Arabidopsis thaliana: one gene and its partner. The protein of the gene in region 2 interacts with the protein of the main gene of each other region in a pairwise test. Each region holds a gene or a part of one and is shown on either strand. Other genes may lie near its edges. The genes, in order: LTO1 and EDA3.

Region 1 (7,405 bases), on a different chromosome or scaffold from region 2:
AACTGATTCTTGGCAAACAGGTGATGAATGAACTAACTACCTCTTTTTGCTCTAAGCAGTGAGAACACCAGAATGCCCCATACATTTTAGCTCCAATGGAGTTTAGATGTTTTGCTAAAGCAATAGCATAAGGGCTCGATGATGAACTGATCTCTGTTCTAAAATATGGCAGTTCAATGTCACCAGAGCTGGAAGGAGTGAAACAAAAAACGATCGGGATTAAAAGAGACCACCTGATAAGACTCATACATCTTTCGGAAGCTATTTGTTCACTACTCGTTACAAATGACTAAAATTTCTATCGGGACTCCCCAAAGAAAACTATGAACTTTGATTACCGTGAAGGGATTGGTTGAGCAGTACTGTAAGAAGCAGTCAAGGAGGCAACTACTATGATTGCTAAGCATATCTGCAATCCTACAACTTGCTGTATTTCTTGCAACTTCACATCCTACCACATGCATGGAGCACATTATCATAATCCGAAGTTTAGAAGTTATCTTGAGTCAACATCAGGAAAAAAAAAGAAATGGAAATAAAGGGATACCTTTACAGAGAGGAAAAATAGACTAAATGATAAGAAAGCAGACACCAGACAATACAGGCATGATGATCCTGAGAGTTTTGTGCTAAGGATATACAGGAAATATGCACTAGCAGATGCCATTGCAGTCGTGATCCCAAATAACGCGAAACGCCCATTGCTCTTACTGATTCCAAAAGGTAGATTCCCTTCCCCAAGCTCTGCACTTAGAGCGGTTACTACGCCATACATAACAAATCCAATCACTGGAAGAGGAACACCTGGCAAAATGTAAAAAAGGATTTTCATTGAGTTCAACTTACCTGCAATGCAATGTTGGACAAACAACGAAGACAAAGCACTACATAGAGTGGAGTGAAGCATGCTATTTAACTCTAACAATTCTATGCATACTAAGTACCAAAGCTCCTAAATGATATAGCTTCAAGCAAAGATTCACAGAGACTATCACATGCGAGTATTTAATCATGCCTACTATAAAAGAGAGGACAATTAGCTACATAAATCAAACGCTATAATCAATAAAGCGATGGATAATACCGAAAACGACGGCATAATCGCTGTTGAGGACATCACCGCAAGTGCCACCACCAATAGGGCAAAACGCATCGGAGCCAGTGACCTTGAGGTAAGTCAAATACGCAGTGTCTAACATCCCAATACCGCCGATTCCGGTGTACCAGTTGTATGTCGAACTGTTACTAGTAGATACTTCACTTGTAGACGATGAGGAGGAGGAAGACAGCGACGGTGCCGAATCCTCACCGTTTTCCGGCTCAGATGAAGAACATTTAATCGGAATCGCAGGAAATCTCCGATCAGAGACCTAATTCAGAACATCTGACTTCAAATGACCGATCACACACTACTGTCACTGAAGAAAACACATGACAAGAATTTACCTCGAATCGTCTAGGATAAGAAGTTACCGACGGAGGAGAAACCTCACGGAAGCCGAAATGAAACTGACAAGACGACACAGAAACAAACCTCGCCATCATCGTCGTCGAAGAATCGCTATTCCACCATTGTTAACTTCATCATCTTCTCTCCTCCGCTCCACTATCTCAGCCACTTGTTTCAATATTGGGCCTAAACGAGGCCCAAATACGATAATTTGGATCCATAATTAGTTTATCACAATTGGGCCTTACGGTCTTCTTATCCGTCCGAGTCAGCAAGTTATCCTCTTCAACACGACTCACGAGGCACCGAGTTGGACTTATCATGATTCATTATCTACGCATTGTTTACATTTTGGAATCGACTTTGGTACATAATTGAATTTATCCATAGAAATGATAGAGACTCGAAGATCGGACATAAAACTTGCTGACGTGACACCCATACCTTTGTGTCTGTATGTATTATATAAACGCTATAGAACTAAGAGAAGAAGTATCTAAGTAGCATCAAAGCATTCTAAAAGAAGTTTCAAAGAAGAAGTGAAAATGGAAACCACTGCTTTTAACACAACATCACGAATTGGAAACTGGTCATCGGCTATTTCTCCACCTCTACAAACATGTGGATCTTTCAAGTGCCAATTACCAACACGAAGAGGTGTTATTGTAGCTGATCTTCGAAACTCAAACTTCCGATGGTAAGCTAGCAATCAACGACGAGAATCGCCTTCTCTATCTGATTTTAGATTATGAATAAATATTAAATCTGAGTATTAACTTCTTGCTCAAGGAGGAAAGCAACGACAACAAGCAGAGGAAATGTTGCAGCAGAGGCAGTTAAAATTCCTACGTCAGTACCAGTAAGAGTGGCGCGTGAGCTAGCTCAAGCAGGATACCGCTATCTCGACGTGAGGACACCAGACGAATTCAGCATCGGACATCCGACTAGAGCCATCAACGTACCTTACATGTACAGAGTCGGATCAGGTTTTCATCACCGACCTTAAGGTTCCTCTTATGAGAAAGAGTGAAAATGAAAAACAACTTAAAACTAACACCAAGCCAAAACCGTTGCAGGAATGGTTAAGAACCCGAGTTTTCTAAGACAGGTCTCGTCCCACTTCAGGAAACACGATGAAATCATAATCGTAAGTTTCAGTTTTGACATTCAGAGACTAAATAAACCCCTATGAAGACAATCCCTTGTTTCACAAAATCTCTGATGCACGTAATAAACTACTTCTGCAGGGTTGTGAGAGCGGTCAAATGTCATTTATGGCCTCAACTGATCTTCTCACTGCTGTATGTGTGTAATATCACTTCAATTTATATAGCCGTTATCCGGTTTAGGACAAGCGGGTTTAATGTCGCCACATGTACAGGGCTTCACGGCGATCACAGACATTGCTGGAGGATACGTCGCTTGGACAGAGAATGAGCTGCCGGTAGAAGAGTGAAAACAATCATAGCCATATCACCTCCTGTAATTATCAATAAATTCTGTAGATGTTCTCAACGCAAGTATCAATCATCATTATTATTCTCTAAAACATAGTTTAACTGTCAAATCTATATTGGGTGAAAGCTTTACCGAACTTCGAACACCACAAAGTTTACGGACCAATTAAGGACGGGGATGCATGCCTACACACGTTTAGTTTTCGCCGTTTTAAAATTTTAATACTTAAACTAATTTTTAAATGATAATAGTGAAATTAACATTATTTTAGTTAAAAATTATTAATTACTTTCTTAAAATTTAAGTTTTAAATTGGTTTTAAATTATTATTCTTTAAGTTTAAGTGTTAAATTTATAAAATGATAGAAAAACATATTTATACATGGACAAGATCAAACCGAAAGGAACCGAAACTAATATTATGAAAACTAATATCAATCTCAACACAGGTGTTTCTGTATCTGAATCGTTTACGATCAGTTAATATGATTACTTGCTTTGATTAACAAAGAAATCCGTAGCCGCTCTTAAGAATGGCTTCAAAAGAATGGCTTTCACTTTATTGAGTTGCAATCCAAATCAATCTCTGCAGTGATAATTGTATCAAAAGGAGATTGTTTTTTAAGAAAATTATACATGGACAAAAAGAGTGAGGCTCTAAGAAACTGTACAACGAAAAAACGAGAAGTGAGTAGAGCTCTATCAAACCGATCAAACCAAATTTTTCAGCGCACCCGAGAGAGTCAACGATGGCCTTTTTTTAGGCCTGAAAAGTAACCACCATGTTTATCCTTGTGGCGCTCATCATCTCCAACCTGGTGGTTTCAAAACATATTAATGCTAAGAATCGTGTTGGTTAGAGAGAGAGATGCAATGATAAATCAATTACCTCGCGGATTAGTTGGTTAAGCATTTCTATGATTTCTGCAAAATTGGGTCTTAGAGCTGGGTCTTGCTGCCAGCATTTCTCAAGAAGTTCAGTCAGTTTTGGGTGTGTTTCCTTTGGAATTTTTGGTCTAAGTCCCTGTAAATTAATTACAAGTCATTGTGTTGAAGGCCGTTAATCAAAGCACGAGAAAAATAACTATAAAGTCCTATAGACATGATACCTTTTGGACAACGCCAACAGCAGCTTGCAGTGGAGTCAAGTAAGAATATGGGAGCTGTTTTCATTCATTATACACCAGTAAGAAAAAAAAGTGTGTTAAACACATGAGATTTACTGAGTTTAGCAACTTTCGACTAAAATCCAGAGAGAGAAAACTAGGAGTCTTACTTCCCCAGTCAAAAGTTCCCACAGCACAATCGCGTAGCTGAAGACATCTGCCCTGTGATCATAAGGTTTGTGCTCAATGACCTGGGTTCACAGAGTCTAGTGTCAAAAGCATGGAAAGTCAAAAAAAAGAACAAGACAAAGAAGTAATACCTCTGGAGCCATCCATCGGTATGTCCCTGTTTCCGCTGTCATAACCCCTGACTCAGTCTGCACTCTGGCAACACCAAAATCGGCAACTTTGACAACCTGTCCAAAATTATGTAGAAATTAAAGACATGTACCTCTGTTCTAAGAAGATTAAAAGAATTTTGTGGAGACGGAAAGAGGAAATTAAGTTTTTTGTAGAATTTTAAAGGTTTACAAGCTGAAAAGACTACATGATCAGTGGCCAAAGATTGAGACTTACTTCATGTTCGTCCATAAGAAGATTAGCAGTCTTAAGGTCTCTATGAATAATATTGTTTTGATGCAGATAATTCATTCCTTTCGAGACGTCGAGTGCCACTTTGAGCAAAGATTGAATTTTAAAAACCCCTTTGTGTTTGTGAAGGAAATCATAAATGCTCCCCCGAGTCATGAACTCTGATACAAAAGGATAAAATCATCCGACCATGAATACATGTAAAGGCCAAAACTAGGAAATGAAATGTTACGGTATTTACTAAACAATACTCTATAGAACCTCAATGTCCTGCTGAAACAACTTTCTCACCACGCTTGAAGATACAAAACCAACAAAAAAAACGATCTAGATGGAACCAGTCTCCTATTCATAATCTACTGACAACTTACCTGTCACAATGCAGAGGTTTGGTGATCGTGTACATGCACCAATGAACTGGACAACATTTTTATGCCGAACTTTCCTACAAATAGGGAAGTATCAGTAGTGGATGTTTCTGAATATTAACTTTGTTCAATGGACACTGGTTGTTAGAAAATGAGGGAAACTCATGCATGTTTCTACGTATACACCATGAAATGGAATTTTTGGAGATTTATTAGAATACATATACTATAAGAGTACGAGTTGCAATTAGAATCAAATTGCAGCACACCTCATTATATATACTTCCTGAGAAAACTCTCGTAGCATTTCCGCATTAACACGCTCAGGCTTGAGAATTTTGATAGCTACTTCCTGACTACAATAGGTTCCTCTAAATCTGCATAGCCATTAAGAATATATAGCTGTTAATTTCCTCATATAGTATTAAAAACAAGATTTTTGAATATGAAAACTCACAGTTCCCCGTATGATCCACATGCCACCTTTTTTTCAATTTTGAGCTGCTTCATGTCAATTTCCCACTCATCAGTTCCATCCGTAGGTATTTCAACACACGCAGGTAGCAGCTCGTTGGTTGATTTGTCATGCTCAAAGAAAGTGATAGATTTCTGTTTTGAACAAGGTTGATCCTGCAGAGCAGCCAGTGTGGAATATGGAGACATGACGACTATCAAAATTGATTCAAAACATAGCAAAAAAAACATCAGTACAGTGGTGCATTCAGTTTCGGAGTGAGCTAATTCTAAACCATTACTTGCACTTTCGGAATTTAAATTATGAATGTGGCATGGAGTCTAATATAAGGAATCTCATGAAGATAAGGAATGCTCATGACAATAGACTAACAAAAGATACCTTAAACTTTCTTATCTCCTTCTTCAATGCATCTTTTAAACCTTCTGTTTCCTGTATTTCAAAAGTGTATAAAGTTGCAACCAGTTTAGATGGCAGGGGCAGAAAGGTCATCAATGGTCAATATCTTTCGAAGTCATTTACTTATTACATAAGTCACAAGTCATTTACTCAATGGTCAAAATCTTTCAAAGTCGTTTACTTAATCCATCAGTCACAAGTAACATGATGGTTCTGAAAGATGTTGTGAACCATACAGAAAACTGAAACTATACCTCCTGCGACCAGCCATCAACAACAAATACATCGAGAGAGAAACCATCGGCGGTAGAGAAAGCATGAGCCTCTTGAATATTCAATCCAAGTTCACCAAGCATGGAAGTTAGCTGGAAAGAAAACAAACCGATTCTCAGTCAGATAATGGCTTAATAGAAACATAACCACCCATTCTCTACATGACTGTATCTAATGGATCCTTAAAAGTAGAGAGGGAATCCTATACATCACTCTACTCAAACGAAGAGAAAAAGCAATTGTAAAAGAACACAAAGTCACATGTTTCCAATATCAGAGCTGACATAAAAAGAAATGGAAGAAGCAACATCACCAACCTGACTAAGGAGTTTCGGCCTGTCGATTGTAGAAAAGGTGATTTCGTGCATCGGTCTATAAGATAGACAACAAAGGATAATATCACCACACATGGTTGTAAAATTAAATCAAATAATCCTGCAAAACAGACGATACCATGCTACAAAGAACGCCTCTTCAAGTATATGCAGACAAGAAGACTCAAGTAAGTTAAGTGTCAAAAGTATATATCTCACCGAGAATTAGGCAACTGTGCATTGACAGCACTATCATCGTCTTGAGCATGATCTTTGTAAGCTTGAGTAAGAGCTTCGAAATTCGGAGAAGAACCAAAAGTTGGAGGTGCAAGAGACCTCGAGTTATAGGAGCTTTGAGCATCTTCATTGACCGCAGGATCCGAAGGATCAACGTCACCAGAATTTCCATTCAATGTGGGAGAAACCTGTAAGAAAAGTGGAAGTATGAAGAAGCAAGCAAGCAAGATTAAAAAGTGGTGAAGATGGTTAAATGATCACACCTGCACACAACGAACTTCGAAAACAGGTCTAGTAGCAGGATCTTCAGCCAATTTCAACAATCTCTGATGAGTAAGTACATCTTCTGCTCTCTCAACATTTACATCCAAAGCATATCTATACACAAAATCCATTTCAGCAGGAAGTCAAATTTGAAAACATTTATTATCATAGGATCCAAAAAGATTACCGAGCAGGAAGACGATTGAAGTGAAGCCAGAGGAGATCATCAAAACCAGGGAAATTAGCTTCTTCGTAATTGGATTCCTGGATTCGTTGAAGAACCTCACCGTACACCTCCAGTTTCATACGGTGCTGTCTAGGGCTTTCTTTCGTTATTGAAGCTACCACGGCTCTGCTTCCGCAACTCTCCTCCGTCTCCTCTTTGATCGCCATCGCAAAACAGCAGATCAGAATTGAAAAACTCTCTCAAGTAAAACCAGAATTCAACAGTAGGAGTGATCTCTTCTTCG
Region 2 (7,405 bases):
TGTTGTTTATCATTTCAGGTTACTTTGGAAGAATCTCAAGACGAGAGCTTCTCTTATGCCTCACCTCAGAAGTGCTGGGAAATGGTGTTGCTTAGAGTTAAGGAAGAGATCATGAGACGCAGCAACCAAAAACAAGATGTCCATATGTTGGAAAGCATCGATGGGTTAAAAATGTTTGGCTTTCGCTCTCCGTTTATTGTTCAGGTAATTTTAAGTAATCGAGTCAACCTAGGTCTTGTTTGATACCCCGGGTCCATGATATTTTTCTTACACAGCTTATGATCATCTTCATCTACAGGCCACTGAGGCTCTTGACCCGAACCATGGCCAAGTGGAGTATTGGAACCATAAGAATGAGAAGGATTCGCTGGAAATGAAAGATTGCTTCATGTCAAATTCTTCCCAGAGCTTAAGCAAAGCAAGACTTTTTGGGGTTGATTTGAATTGAATTCTTGAAGAGGAACACTCGTCAAGAATGCCAGAGACAATGTTGTTAGACAGGAACTCAACAATTTTTCTTTACCCTGATGATTTTTCTTAGAATTGTTTCAGTACATTGTTTGTCTCATCAGGCTCTGATGACCAAACTGTAATTTGTTGCTACCATTTTCCAAAATACTCATAAGTTGCATGATGTTTGACTTTGAAAGTTGCATGATGTAACAAATTCTAAAACACCATTTTCCAAATCCTTTGCGTAAGTTTTCACTTTGTTTTTGTCTACTCAAATTAAAATAGAATAGAGAAGCAATAAATTTTTAAAAAACTAGGAAGGACACAATTTTCTAAAGATTAGAAAACCTACGATTTAAAACTCTCTTTTCCCTCAAGTTTGTATAAATTAGTTTCCAATCTCTCTAAACTTTATGAACTATATAAAAAAACAATATTAATTAGAATTAAATAAAACTTTTAAAACAACACATGCAACTTGAGCCGTTCTCAAATACAATGTTGACATCCTCAAATCGATCGGTCCTTTATTTCTTAGATCAACATTGTGTTACATTTACACAAACACAAGTACACAACATATCTTTATTAAAATTTTCATTAAAAACCAGTATTATATCATCGAGTACACATGATGATTATCGAAATTACCATGAGATTATTCCAACGGGATAACTAACATTATAACGGCGCTAACGTATACGTTCACAGAGGTGGCGGTGTGAGGAATGGCAGGGGAGGAAACGTAAAGCCAGGGAAACCAGGAAGGGATGGCGCCGGAGGTGATGTCGGAAACGGAAACGGAAATGGTAAACGTGGGATATTTCCAGGGAACGGAGAAGGTACAAACGGCGGAAAAAGTGACGGTAACGGAGGAACACCGCCAAATGGCAAGCCCGGTGGAAACGGTAGGTTGTTAGCTTCGTCGGTAGTGGTGGTGACTACTTCATCACTCGGCTTCTGATCAGTAAGACGACGAGCGACGGTTGTTTCCGGCATGAGGTGGAAGATCAAGATTAGGGTTAGGGCTACACTGATGAGTGATGAAGAAGCCATAATTTGTTTTGTATTTTTTGCTTATATGCTTTTGTGTCTGTTGTCTAGTGACTATCTAGTGTTAGTATATATAGGCCTATATTTCCATTAATTTATTTTTTCACACCCAACGTACTTCTTATTGATTTACAAACACAATTAATTGGTGCCAATAGTTGTATAACATCGAATGTACCGAACTCGAAAATAAGTAAACTGATTTAACAAATGCATGTGTATCGCATGTTGGCTGTTGCATAATTTCCAATATAACATTGGTACATTTAACATGAAAATTAGTTGAAAAATATCAAAAAGAGAAACATGAAAACTGACTAGTTAAATACTAATAAATATAGAGGCATGCACATGAACATGTGTCTCTCATGCAGCTTGGTTAGAGCTCATTGAATTCGACTAATGATTTCGAAACCAGCTGTATGTTTACATCTTTACATATTCTTCTTAACCTTCACATTTCACTATATCCTCTTTATTTGTTATGCTTACCGGTATTAGTCCAACTAGACTGATTGCTTTTTAGTATGAAATGATGTTGATGTAAGGAATATTATGGTTCCAGGAAATATGAAATAGTTGTGTGATTGAGTAGATGTGTGTGTAGTTAGGTCTAAAGAGAATAATCAAAGTGTGTGATTCTATATGCCTAAATGCATAGGTGAGTGAGTGAGTATCTTAGTCGAAACTGATTCGTCTAGTCTGTATGGGGAAGAAGGAAAGTTTTATGTTTATAGAATTTACAACACAAACCTAGCAGCATTATAAAAACATGTTGAATTCGATACATTCTTCTATAGCTTTCCATGCATCCTCAATGTGTAAGTTTTCATCCGCTTCTATCATCATGTCTACTGGCTCTGTGCTTAAAATCATATTTGCAGTAACAATCTGCAACCATTTCAAGAGATGGAAAGATAAGAGAGAGGAACACGCTTGTCCTCACCAAGCTTTTAATTCGTGAACCCAATAATCTCAAATGTGAAGTTGTAGTAAAAAGGACCTATACCTACCTTCTCATGAATCAGGAAGAAGCCGACCATTGTACATCTTTTCGAGTAGCTCACGAGCACCAGGCCTTCTAAGAAGGCCTTTGTTGTTTGGTAAACCTGTACCTAAACAGACCGGACAAACAAGCTTACCTCGACCTGTTTGCAATAGAAGCCACCAACTAATCAGGAAATTTCAAGTGTTACGAAACCAAACAAGACTAAAGAGATATCGGGAAGGAAACAAACCGTAACAGTTTGGACATTCCGTAAACTCATATACATCTTTCGCACGTTTTCGGTTGAGAGCTTTCCATTTTCCTGTACCACCACACATATCACCTATATCATAACAAAATCCAATTAAACCAAATGGGTATCAGTAGTAAGCTCATGAGGCATTTTGCATCATATCAAATGGAAACAGAGAATCATTACGAACTTTTCACATAGGAAGGTGTCTACGAAAACTATTATCAAGAGTTCCATATGTTTGTTGTTAAAAGTCACAATCAGGTCTTATATCTTTCAATCTTAAGCTATAAGACCCTACAGATTCTAAAGAAACACAAGGCAAATATACTATACAATATACGTTTAAGGATATGTTTCTATATCAGAGTTCCAGATAAGAAACTAAAACAAAAGAACTTGTCACTCACAAAGAACAGCACCACTGCCCTGGCAGTTACGACATGAACCTCCTGGTTTCTTGTCTAAAGCGGCTGCGCTTTGTACAGAGACAAAGGTATAAGAATTGCTAATTAAAGCTGCAGATGCGCACACACATGCCGTCATCCACTGTCTCCGTGACACTGATTTCTGATCTCCCTGCAGCCAAGAACACAAGCCACATAAGTTGACAGCAGAAATTAAGACTAAGAACTAATGAAAGCAGTTGCATAGATAGCTATACACTGAGAACTACAACTAGATCATTGAAGAGTAACAAAGACATACTAGTGTTGATGTACCAATTTTTGTAGCAGAAGAACTAAAGACTAAGACTTTAAAAAATTTCTTAGCATAGCTACTTAACTAGAGAACATAACCAATCAACTAGCTGATTTCAAGGTAAACTATTAGTAGTCAAAACGATCAATTAGAAACCTTTTGCAGCTGATACAAATGCTTGGAATAAGAAAAAAGATACGGACTTTAACACACAGAACCAACAAGAATGTAAGGCATCTTGTATTATTAACCTGGGCTTTGTGGGTAGTCTCTGAGGAAGAATCCGAATCGTTGGAGTCGAAGCTCTGATTCTCCGGGCATGATTTCGCAAGAACACGAACTCGATTCCGGTTTGGTGCAGCTAACAGAAACGATGCGGGTAAGAAAGAGGATAATATAAACAATGTCGGAAAGGAACAGATAGAGAGATAGAGATGTTACATAGAAACGGAGAAGCAGGCGAAGGGAGTGCGAAGAGATGAGATGATGATGCCGCCATTTTTTTCAGTCTGCGGTCATAATTTTACTGGCGAACCAGAGGACCCGAACCATCTATAGGATGTTTCTGATATTTACGTTTTGGTACACATAGTTTGATTAGTTTATTAGATTGGTACATTTTCTCTTCAATTTCAATTTTTGATCCATTATAACTTGACCTCTAAATGTAGTAGAGTAAGTCTTAAAAGGCCGCTAGCCTGTTAGGCCTGCTCCAAGACGGCCCCGAAAAGACTTAAAAAGGGTTAGGCTTTGACTTTGATTATGACTTTTTCATGATGAATTATTCTCTCACATTTTTAATACAAAGAACATGTGCTTGTTCAGGTTAGTGGTGTTTTATTAGTCTTCTGACTTGTGGTGATCTTTGTACGATTCAAATTTTATGATATATGAAATTAGTTTAATCAATGAATGTATATTTGATAAACAAATATATAGTATGCAGGAGGTCTTGAGTTCAACTCTCAATGAAAGCAATTTCTCTTCTTTTTTTTCTAACATTAAATTCAAAAAAGATAAACAAATCTATACAACTGAGGAATAAATGGTCTCGAGATCTAGTAAAGTCAATGTGCATGGAACTGTCGGTTGCTTTAATTTTCTTGATCAAGATGTAGTCATGTTTTTGTTTTTAAGAAGACGTAGTAATGTTATGAAGTCAACATAGTTTATAGCCAATTATTTTTATTACTATATACAAAAAGGTCTACTCTTTATAACTCTATTCGAAATTTTTCTAATTATAACTAGCAAATTATCGAACTATCTAAAAATCATTTACAAATATTACAACCAAAAACAATAGATTTTGTTTTGCTTATCATTCATTATACTAATATTTTCCGTAAATTTTTGTTGTACTATAATATGTTGGTCAAGAGGTAGTCAAGTTTTGGCCATAAAGTAAAAGCCACGTAGAGACTTTTGCCGACATGTGCAGCAGAGAGTTCGTCGGTACGCACAGGTGCCGGAGCTCCCTCGTTCCAATCACCGCGTCCCTTATAATACTTGTTGCAATTTCATTCGTTACTTGTGTCTAAAAATCTCAATAAAGTAATCATTTAATTCAACTTTATAGCTCTTCTCTTGTCTCGTGTCTCGTGTTCCCTTCGCTCGCTTTCACCGTCAAGACCACTCTCTTTACTTTCCTCCTTTGTACGTAAGTCGTTCTAACCTTTTCCACTTAGAATTGAGATCGAATCTTTCTTACTATAGAAGAGAGATTCTTGGTCAAGTCCAGATTATACAACATTTTTGCTTTCTACAGTTTTCTTCTGTTTCCTCATGTACAGGCTGAACTTTGGCCTTTTTGTTGTTGTGAAATTCTGTGTCGGTGTGAATTCTGCATTTTCATTTTTATTTGAAAGACCTACATGTTCCCACCCAAACTGGAGTTACTGAGGTTTTTGCAGGTGCGAGTTTTCTAAATATTTCGAGTTGTTAATCTCTTACAGCTGAAACTGGACTACGCCGTGTACTTTCAGAATCAAAATGCTGAATTTAGGCAGAGCTAGAACCGGGAGGCAAAACAGATCTATGTCTTTTGAAGGTACACACAGGAATATCTTTTAGACTTTTATGATAAAACCTGATTTTTCTACTGTTTTTTTTTATTTGTCTGAAATATTTTGCTTACTTGTTTAGAAGTGGTTGGTAAGTTGATAGAGATTTTAGATTTTCTGGGGGCTTATTAGTTAGCTCCAAAGTCATAAGCTTTTCTTGTGTTTCTTATTTGGATTCAAAATTTCACACATGTTGATGATTTTTGGAGTGTAGGATTGGATTTTGCAGACCCAAAGAAGAACAACAATTACATGGGGAAGATTGTTTTGGTCATGACACTTACAGCAATGTGCATTCTCTTGCTCAACCAATCCCCAACCTTCAATACCCCAAGCGTGGTATTACTTCTTATATGTACTTAACTTGATATTGATACAGTGTCTCATTTTTGTAGTAGTAATGTTTTCTTCATCTTTCAGTTTTCTCGAAGTGAACCAGGAGTTACACATGTTCTAGTCACTGGTGGTGCAGGGTATATCGGGTCACATGCAGCTTTACGCCTTCTAAAAGATTCATACCGTGTCACCATTGTGGTATACATACATCTCCATTGCCTTACATAGATTCATGCTTCTCGTGTTGTATCTAAGTAAAGAAGTAAATCTTTTCATGTTTTGGCAGGACAATCTATCTCGAGGGAACCTCGGTGCAGTCAAGATCTTGCAACAACTGTTTCCGGAACCTGGAAAGCTTCAATTCATTTATGCTGATCTTGGAGATGCAAATGCTGTATGATCCTTCATTGTGATTTTAGATATAAGACCACCATAAACACACAGACAAGCTTTTTTGTGTGTGTTTTCTTGATAAGAAATTCTTTCAGGTTAACAAAATATTTTCTGAAAACGCATTTGACGCTGTGATGCATTTTGCTGCTGTTGCTTATGTTGGAGAAAGCACACAGTTTCCTCTCAAGTGAGTATTTTTGTTCCTTCTCAAAATGATTTAACCTTTGCTGTAAGATTGATGTAAATAATATTTTGTGTTCTGTCATTTGCAAGTATTATCACAATATCACATCGAACACATTGGTAGTTTTAGAGACAATGGCTGCTCATGGTGTGAAGACTTTGATATATTCAAGCACATGTGCTACTTATGGAGAGCCTGAGAAAATGCCAATAACAGAGGAAACTCCACAGGTTCCAATCAATCCATATGGAAAGGCTAAAAAGATGGCAGAAGATATCATCTTGGATTTCTCCAAGAATTCTATTATGGCAGTTATGATCCTAAGGTTGTTAGTTAATTCTGTTATGTGTGTGTGTGTGTGACCTCTGTGTTTGTTTTCTCTTGCCCTGAAGTTGAGTTCATTCTGTCTTCAAATTGGTTTTCTTCAGATATTTCAATGTGATTGGGTCTGATCCTGAGGGTAGACTAGGTGAAGCTCCAAGACCTGAACTCAGTGAGCATGGACGGATCTCTGGTGCTTGCTTTGATGCTGCACGAGGCATCATTCCCGGGCTGCAGGTATTTACCAGGCTCTTTTTTGTGCGTAATCACCACATATAATCTCTGTTAAAAGTTTATTTGGTTTTTATCTGCAGATTAAAGGAACAGACTACAAGACTGTTGATGGGACTTGTGTACGTGATTACATTGATGTCACCGACTTGGTTGATGCTCATGTTAAAGCTCTTGAAAAGGCGAAACCCCGCAAAGTTGGTATCTTCAATGTTGGTACCGGGAAAGGTATAAAATTAGATGTTTGGCAAAGATTCTAGGATAGTGAAGTGAATGGATTTCAGAGAATGTGGTATTAATTGTTGTGCAAGCAGGTAGCTCGGTGAAGGAGTTTGTGGAAGCGTGCAAAAAGGCGACCGGCGTTGATATAAAAGTCGATTACTTGGAAAGACGGGCAGGAGATTACGCAGAGGTTTACAGCGATCCAA

Evidence for each region.
Region 1: the proteins of EDA3 (region 2) and LTO1 interact in a two-hybrid assay, tested with the Arabidopsis thaliana proteins (one study listed by BioGRID).

The regions. Positions count from the first base shown.
Region 1 is NC_003075.7:16,943,078-16,950,482, forward strand, and holds the start of LTO1 (NAD(P)H dehydrogenase (quinone)s), read right to left. Parts: upstream 1,601-7,405; 5' UTR 1,546-1,600; coding exon 1,447-1,545; intron 1,371-1,446; coding exon 1,085-1,370; intron 805-1,084; coding exon 548-804; intron 452-547; coding exon 339-451; intron 189-338; coding exon 41-188; intron 1-40. Other genes in the region: SEN1 (Rhodanese/Cell cycle control phosphatase superfamily protein), read left to right, coding at 1,996-2,147, 2,240-2,436, 2,527-2,597, 2,698-2,751, 2,832-2,906; STY17 (ACT-like protein tyrosine kinase family protein), read right to left, coding at 3,652-3,723, 3,798-3,932, 4,018-4,071, 4,185-4,265, 4,335-4,430, 4,591-4,766, 4,977-5,050, 5,243-5,350 and 7 more. UniProt on the Arabidopsis thaliana protein: Thiol-disulfide oxidoreductase catalyzing disulfide bond formation of chloroplast proteins and involved in redox regulation and photosynthetic electron transport.
Region 2 is NC_003071.7:14,704,923-14,712,327, reverse strand, and holds EDA3 (DnaJ/Hsp40 cysteine-rich domain superfamily protein), read right to left. Parts: upstream 4,086-7,405; 5' UTR 3,949-4,085; coding exon 3,891-3,948; intron 3,811-3,890; coding exon 3,701-3,810; intron 3,327-3,700; coding exon 3,158-3,326; intron 2,838-3,157; coding exon 2,745-2,837; intron 2,655-2,744; coding exon 2,524-2,654; 3' UTR 2,520-2,523; exon of another isoform or gene 2,516-2,519; intron 2,398-2,515; 3' UTR 2,061-2,397; downstream 1-2,060. Other genes in the region: MEE27 (Transcription factor jumonji (jmj) family protein / zinc finger (C5HC2 type) family protein), read left to right, coding at 19-204, 299-448; MEE26 (hydroxyproline-rich glycoprotein family protein), read right to left, coding at 1,159-1,509; MEE25 (NAD(P)-binding Rossmann-fold superfamily protein), read left to right, coding at 6,560-6,750, 6,854-6,983, 7,061-7,205, 7,292-7,405. UniProt on the Arabidopsis thaliana protein: Involved in female gametophyte development. Required for embryo sac development. Nuclear genome-encoded factor required for the accumulation of photosystem I (PSI) during plant development. Required for light acclimation and chloroplast development.